Cricetulus griseus: one gene and its partner. The protein of the gene in region 1 interacts with the protein of each later gene in a biochemical or structural test. Links are inferred from orthologs where the notes say so. Each region holds a gene or a part of one and is shown on either strand. Other genes may lie near its edges.

What was found. The genes of interacting proteins can lie anywhere in the genome.
Region 2: the proteins of Cltc (region 1) and Tom1l1 form a complex in vitro, tested with the Homo sapiens proteins (2 studies listed by BioGRID and IntAct). The link is inferred for Cricetulus griseus from reciprocal best matches to the Homo sapiens genes CLTC and TOM1L1.

What each region holds. Positions count from the first base shown.
Region 1 is NC_048600.1:99,945,688-99,949,795, reverse strand, and holds part of Cltc (clathrin heavy chain 1), read left to right. Parts: intron 1-873; coding exon 874-1,019; intron 1,020-1,230; coding exon 1,231-1,414; intron 1,415-1,581; coding exon 1,582-1,774; intron 1,775-2,594; coding exon 2,595-2,752; intron 2,753-3,374; coding exon 3,375-3,539; intron 3,540-3,663; coding exon 3,664-3,771; intron 3,772-3,852; coding exon 3,853-4,020; intron 4,021-4,108. UniProt on the Homo sapiens protein: Clathrin is the major protein of the polyhedral coat of coated pits and vesicles. Two different adapter protein complexes link the clathrin lattice either to the plasma membrane or to the trans-Golgi network.
Region 2 is NC_048600.1:103,763,298-103,767,101, reverse strand, and holds part of Tom1l1 (TOM1-like protein 1), read left to right. Parts: intron 1-2,955; coding exon 2,956-3,016; intron 3,017-3,334; coding exon 3,335-3,452; intron 3,453-3,804. UniProt on the Homo sapiens protein: Probable adapter protein involved in signaling pathways. Interacts with the SH2 and SH3 domains of various signaling proteins when it is phosphorylated. May promote FYN activation, possibly by disrupting intramolecular SH3-dependent interactions.

The DNA of each region.
Region 1 (4,108 bases):
GGAGAGATGGCTCAGAGGTTAAGAGCACCGACTGCTCTTCCAGAGGTCCTGGGTTCAGTTCCTGCAACCACATGTTGGCTCACAACCATCTATAATGAGATCTGGTGCCTTCTTCTAGTGTGCAGATATACATGGAAGCAGAATGTTGTATACATAATAAATAAAATCTTTAAAAAAAAAATAGAGAGTGAGCAAGACACCTGGTATCAAGACACTTTGATACATGCACATGCACCTGAACGCATTGATGCACACAACCACAGTAATAGTACCTAATAGCACACACAATGCTCAAATCAATCATAGTGAATCTAACTAAAGTACCACAGTACACAAGTTTTTATACCTATATGATAATTGCAATCTCAAATTTAAAGTGCTAGTTATTGCTCATTATTATAATGATTCTTAAATTCCTCTGATAGACAAAGAGGTACAGCACTCTGAAGAATAGATTACTACCTCTGAGTTTTTCACTAACCCGGGGAAGCATTTCCAAGGCACATTCTCAAGTAGATAGAAAGCTTCCTGCAGTCATCATGGCGTCTGGGCATATGAAAGTAGCTAAAACCAGGGTTGTTCAATTTATAATCTATATCTAGGGATTTGAAAATAGGAAGCCATTAAAATAATAGTGGTAAGTGTTGTTATGGACAGTGTTTTATGAGGAGAAAGTAAAAATTACATAATTGCTCATGTTAATGTAATTATTAATGTGTGTTCATGTTTGTGTACAAAGATCGTTGTGAAGTTATAGGTAGTTTTTCTTCTATTTAAGGTTTTCTAATAAGTTATTTAACCTATTCTTAATAGGCCATGTCTTTTTAAAAATACTTTGATTTTTCATAACCATTCCCTGTATATCATCTGTAGGTTGTACAGACAGCCTTGTCTGAAACTCAGGACCCAGAAGAGGTGTCAGTAACTGTGAAGGCTTTTATGACAGCAGATCTTCCTAATGAACTCATTGAACTGCTGGAGAAAATTGTCCTTGATAACTCTGTATTCAGTGAACACAGGTACGCTGGCAGAGGATTGCACCAGCTTTCTGCTGTCTTTGATTGCAGCCAGTCAGTTTGGGGAGGCAGTTTTCTGAATTGTTACTCCTTGATACTCTGACCTCTTCCTACGCTTTCCCCTGAGACAGATCACCCTCCAGTGCCGTAGTGTTTATTCCTTATCACTGATGGGCTTTATGAACTTTGTGGTTCAATGTCTTGGTTTCTAAAGGAATCTGCAAAACCTCCTCATCCTCACTGCAATTAAGGCTGACCGAACACGTGTTATGGAGTATATTAACCGCCTGGATAATTATGATGCTCCAGATATTGCCAATATTGCCATCAGCAATGAGCTGTTTGAAGAAGCATTTGCTATTTTCCGGAAGTTTGATGTCAATACTTCAGCTGTTCAGGTAATCTTGAAATTAGATAAATTGAGATAATGACTTTGTGTAAAGAATGCATTGCCTTATGATGGCATGCACAGATTGCTGTCACAATAGAATAATCACAAAAATGCTATAGGTAATAATGAATAAGATCCATTTTACTGTAACACCAATTCAAAAATGTTGCCCAGGTCTTAATTGAACATATTGGAAACTTGGATCGTGCATATGAGTTTGCTGAACGCTGCAATGAACCTGCTGTTTGGAGTCAACTTGCAAAAGCTCAGTTGCAGAAAGGAATGGTGAAGGAAGCCATTGATTCATACATCAAAGCAGATGATCCTTCATCCTACATGGAAGTTGTTCAGGCTGCCAATACTAGTGGTATGACTTCTAATCTTTATGCCTTTGAGATCTTAGAAAATTGCTAAGCCAAGCATTTGGATATCTTAACGTTTAATTGTGTGAAAGTTAGATGCTTCTTTATTACTTATGAAAGCTTTTAGCCCAGCATGTTGACCCAGCTAAAGTCTGACTGCATTGTGTGAATTTAGAAGGTCCCCAGAGGTTAATTTTGTATTGAAGTCTAATAAAATCCTGATAGAACTCTGATATGTAACTTTAAAGGAAGCATGTAGGGAAGGTATCAAATATTCTTTGGGTCAATAATACAGAAGTATAGTGGAATTTTTATACTTTCAGGTATATTCATTTTTATGTGTTATTCTATGTGATGTTTCTTTGTAAAGGGAGTTAAGTTGCTGAAGTGATGTACACTTGCCATCCTAGCACTTGGGAAGTTGAGGCAGGAGGCCTTAGGTTCATGGACAGCCTGGGCATCATAATAATCATTGTGTGTGTGTTTGTGGAATGCTTGTGTGTAGGTACATGAAAGGCCAGAGGACAGGCTCTGTTTTCCCCCTTAAGGCACTATCCACTTAAAAAAAAAAAAAAAAAAAAAAAAGGTCTCTTGTTGGTCTGGGTATCACTAAGCAATTTGGGCCAGCAAGCATAAGCATATAGCAAAATCCACAAGCATAAGCATATAGCAAAATCCACTCTCAAAAAAATAAATTAATAATAATTGTAGTTGACGGTGGCGGGGGGCGGGGGGGCGCCGACACACTAATAGCAGATCTTATATATTTGGTTGAGATATAAAATAAGGATGCTAATCTATGGGCTTATTTGTCTCTTTATTTAGGAAACTGGGAAGAACTGGTGAAGTATTTGCAAATGGCCCGAAAGAAGGCTCGAGAATCCTATGTTGAAACAGAATTGATATTTGCGCTGGCTAAAACAAATCGCCTTGCAGAATTAGAAGAGTTCATCAATGGGCCAAATAATGCTCATATTCAGCAAGTGGGTTTCCTGTTTAAATATGTGTGTATGTTTAGTGGGATGCTTGTATATAGGTGCATGCAGAGGCCAGAGGCCAAGCTCTGTTTTTACCACTCAGGCACTATCTGCTTAAAAAACACAGACAGGGTTTATTGTTGGCCTGGGTGTCAAAAGGTAATTTAGGCCAGCTGGCCAGCATGTATAAAGGATTGGTTTGTCACTGCATCAGTGCATACTATCATACTTGGCTTTTTATGTGGGTGGTGGGTATTGAACTGGGTCCTAATGTTTGCAAGTACCTTTCAACTGAATTATCTCACTGGCTCCACATTTTAAACATATGTCAAACTCAAGGAGTAAGCAATTTTATCATTTTGGAAGAATCAACACATTAGTGCTAAGAAATTAAATTATCCTTAGAGGCAGAGTGTGTGTGTGTGTTCATTCATTTTGTTTGTAATTTTGGAGATGGAATCTCTCAGGTGGCCTTGAACTTGGGGTGCTCCTGACTCAACTTCTTGGGTACTGGATTACAGCATATGCAATGTCCCTATCTATTCCTCAGTGTAAAAATATTAACTTGAAAAAGGGATTGAACTGAGACCTCTATTTTACTGATCATGGATTACCTTTTCCCCACTAGGTTGGTGACCGTTGTTATGATGAAAAAATGTATGATGCTGCTAAGCTGTTGTACAATAATGTTTCTAACTTTGGACGCTTGGCATCTACCCTTGTTCACCTTGGTGAATATCAGGCAGCAGTTGATGGTGCTAGAAAAGCTAATAGTACTCGAACATGGAAGGAGGTAATCTAAATCCAAGTTTGAATGATGACTTAAGATTCTGTTTGAAAATTCTGTTTGTACTGTTGAGTTGAAATAACTGTCTGCATTTATATTTGGATTCTCATAGTGGAAAATTATATTCTAGGTCTGCTTTGCCTGTGTAGATGGGAAAGAATTCCGTCTTGCTCAGATGTGTGGACTTCATATTGTAGTACATGCAGATGAATTAGAGGAACTTATCAACTACTATCAGGTAACGAACACCAGACCTTTATATGGATTGAGATCTTTGTATAGATATTCTGTCCTCTAATTGCACATTTCCCTTGTTTAGGATCGTGGATATTTTGAAGAACTCATTACCATGTTGGAGGCAGCCTTGGGACTAGAACGAGCTCACATGGGAATGTTTACCGAACTAGCTATTTTGTATTCTAAATTCAAGCCACAGAAAATGAGGGAACACCTGGAGTTGTTCTGGTCGAGAGTGAATATTCCTAAGGTAACAATCTTCACCACTGTAAGGCAGCTCTAATCATTTAGGCTGATAGCAGGAGTTGGGCTTACATCTTACACGACTGGTCTATGTT
Region 2 (3,804 bases), about 3.8 Mb from region 1:
TGATTTTATTTTTCAGGGGTAAATGAGATAATGCATATTACAAACAAATAACACAGTGGCATATTGACACTCATTACATTTTTGTGTGTGATGCTAGGATTGAACTTGGGACTCTGTCCTGGTAGTCTAGTGCTCTATCACTGAATTATACTCCTGATATTTCCCACACTGAATCACCATTTTTCCATCCTCATTCATGTTCCATTTAGACTTTAAAAATCACAAAGGTTTTCACTCTTTTTCTCCCCCGTGCCAACACTGAGGCAAGAGAATCAGGAAGAGAAAGCCAGCAGCTGTACTGTGGTGGTTCCTTTCTCCTTTACAGTCTCACATTCACTGCCTCTTAGGGACGGCAAGTTTTTGTAAGAAAACATGGCAGTGAGCCCCGTCACCATGCTCTTAGTACTGGACAGACTCACAGTCCTTGCCCTTTCCTGTGACATAAATCTCTGTAAGCAGAAAAATGTCCAAGGGTAACCCCGTGGTTTTCAGTCTTTGAGCTGATGTCTGGTTTTCATTTGGGACAATTCTGTTGCCAACCGTAAGACACTGGTTAAAGGCCCTCTCCAAGGAGGAACTTTTGTTTATTTGTTCTACATCAGGCATTTGGATTGCTTGTGTTGACTCTGCTCTGAACAGCATGTACCACGGTGACCGTGGTCCTTGAATTCTGAGAGAGAGAAAGGGGGCTCCTAGAAAAGATGCTTACCAGTTTTGTTTTTCTGCCACGAGCTCCATGGTTTGAGCAGCACAGATTTATTATTATTAGGTTATAAACTCATTTCTCCAGGTTGGGAGATGCAAGTGTCTGTCTCTGGACTGGACTCCAGATGGCAGCAGGGCTGCCTTTCATTTTGGAGGTCCCAAAGGAGACGCCATCTCCTTACCTTTGCAGCCAATAAAGGCTGCCCGCTTTCCTTGGCCCATGACCTCTTTATTCCATCTTCAGTGCCAATACCTGCTTTAGAAAGGCCCCCATCTTAACACTCTTCCTGCTTCTTCTAAACCCTTCTTCTCAAGTACTGTTTTTATGACTACAGTGAGCGTGTCTCTTATATCCAAGAAAATCCCCTAGCCAAGGTAAACTTGCTAGCTGACATCATTCCCTCTGCAGTCTTCAGTCCCCCCAGTTTCAATCTAGCCTATAATAGTCACTAAGTGAAGTAGAACATGGGTATCATTAGAGGAGAACACTATTCTCCTTCTTCTAACAGTCTGGCCTCCAAGTCTCCAAAGGTTTACCTCCATCCTACCTGCAAAATATTTCCATCACTCCATTTAGAAGCATCTAGAACAGTGGTTTTCAACATTCCTACTGCTGCCTCCCTTTAATATAATTCCTCCTGTTGTGTTGACCCCCAGCCTTAAAATTATTTTTTTTTGTTGCTACTTCAGAACTGTCATTTTGCTACTGTTATGAATCGTAATGTATTTTTGGAGATAGAAGTTTGCCAAAGGGATCCCAATCCACAGGTTGAGAATCGCTGGTTTAAAAACTGAGCGTGTTCAGATACACAAGTGTTTAGGCTTTTGGAGTCAGTGTTCAGATACAGAAGTGTTTAGGCTTTTGGAGTCAGTGTTCAGGTACAGAAGTGTTTAGGTTTTTTGAATTCAATGTGATGATGGTACTACCATAAGTTTCTGAAGCCATTTTCAATTTGTAAGCCAACTCCACATTTACTGCCTATATATCATCTATCACTCCATAGCTATGTGATTTTGCCTCTCTGAAGAAATGGCTCAAATGAGATTCCCATTTAGTGGATGGAACACTGAGGTTCAGTCAGATTCACAGGCATATAGGGAGTAGGGAGTAATGTGGTCTTCTTCAGCTTCACTGGTTTTTACACTCCCACTGTTCTAACTGCTTCCCTTTTACCTTGGTGGACAAGCAATGGGAAATGAAGCCCAAACTGTAAAAGATCAGTCTTTTTTTTTTTCCGGATCAAGTATTTAAAGATGCTACACTGAACACTGGACTACTTTTCATGCACTTGAATATTTTCTGTTAAGTTAATCCTTTGGCTGTTGTATACATACATAAAATTCACCCTGGTTACTCTTTCCCTCAGCCCTGTCTTTCTCTCCACTCGATCTATTAATCCTCCCATGCATACACACACACACACACACACACACACACACACACACACACACACACACACAGTACCTTTCCAAACTCATGATTTTGTTTATTTGTTTGTTTGTTTGTTTGTTTAGTTGAGCAACCCATTTAGTTTAATCAGGGCCATCTATGCAGCTGTTGGTTTGATTTCATGAAATTATTTATAATGGTGAAGTAAAGAACAACCTTATATTTGAAAATAAGAACTGGTGAGGGTGTTGTTGATTATTATGGTTAAAACATTATAGGCATTAGAAATTACAGTTCTAAGTGACTAGAAAAATACAACACAGTGGAAGTAGAATACAGAATTGCATAAAGTATAATTTCCACTAAGTTTAAAAGTAGCTAGACACAATAGCACATGCCTATAACTCTAGCACTCCAGACTCAGGCAAGACGATCATAGGTCTGCCCTGTGCTACATAGCAAAACACTATCTTAAAGTAAGTAAATTAATATAGAAATTAAGTCACTTAGAGAATACACAAACTGCTCATATTACTAGTAGTGCTAATTTCTAGAACAGAGGATTTATTAAGTTTTCTAAACTTTTCTATTTCCTCACAGTGTTTTCTAAGAAGGTTGGTACTCTATTAGCTAGAAGAAAGGGTTTTGGTGGCTGTGTTGTGGTACTGGGGACTGAATACAGATCTTTAAACTCTGTCACTAAGCCATATTCCCACCCCTAGAAGAGAGTTAGTTACTAAAGGTATTTTCCCTAGGATTGGAGAGGGGTGAGGCTTGGCATCACTACAGCAACTATCTGTGCATTTACTAATGCTAGGTTTTCTTTGATAAATGATGTTGCACTTTGCTGATTTAAACAGGTTCACTCGAAACCAACAAAGGCTTTTGGAACAGAATAGGAACTCGAAGGACGCCACCGATGTAAGTGATTAGAAATGGCATAACGTAAACGATCAAGTATCTTATTAATTATCCTTCAGGAAGCAAAGAATCCCTAGAAACAGTTCTTTAAAAGAGGAAGCACACAGTGACAACCTGCCACGGCTTTGGCCATGTGGTTTCCATCTTAAGTTGTGAGACGGGTCTCTAATTAAGGAAGGACTCATGTGCTTAGTGAGATGGAATTTGAGCTGTCATGGTCTGAAGTTTTCCTCAGAAAATTTCCAAAGGAATGGGTGTAGAGAGAGCCAGAAGAAGTTGCATGATTTCCCCCCTAAATTGTCTCTGCTTTGTTTTCAGACTTCCAACGAGCCCTCTGCTCCTTCCTGCGATCTTCTTGATCTTAGTCCCATCGTGCCAATGCCTATGTCCAATGGGGAAGCACTCCACACCGTCAATTCTCAGCTTTCAGCCTTAAGTAAATAAGCCACTGGGCCTTCTCTCACCAGTGTCAAGCCTGATAGGAGATAGTTGTCCTTGGTTTCCTAGTTGAATGCCTCTGGAGAGGGACAGACGTCAGTCTGACTATCAGAGATGTAATCACTTCCCTGCAAAATGGTTGGGTTAGATTCAGCAAACAAATGGGGTGTGTGGGGGAGGGTTTTGGAACTCGTCCCAATCGCTTAGAATCCCATGAAGTTTACCTGACCTGCACAGGTTTTGCTCCTTGATAGCCAATACTTAAATCTCCTCTAGACATAGACTATTATTGTTAGATTTCTCTGCTGTACCACAGCTCAAAGGAGGGAATAACTGATGCGGACAAAGGA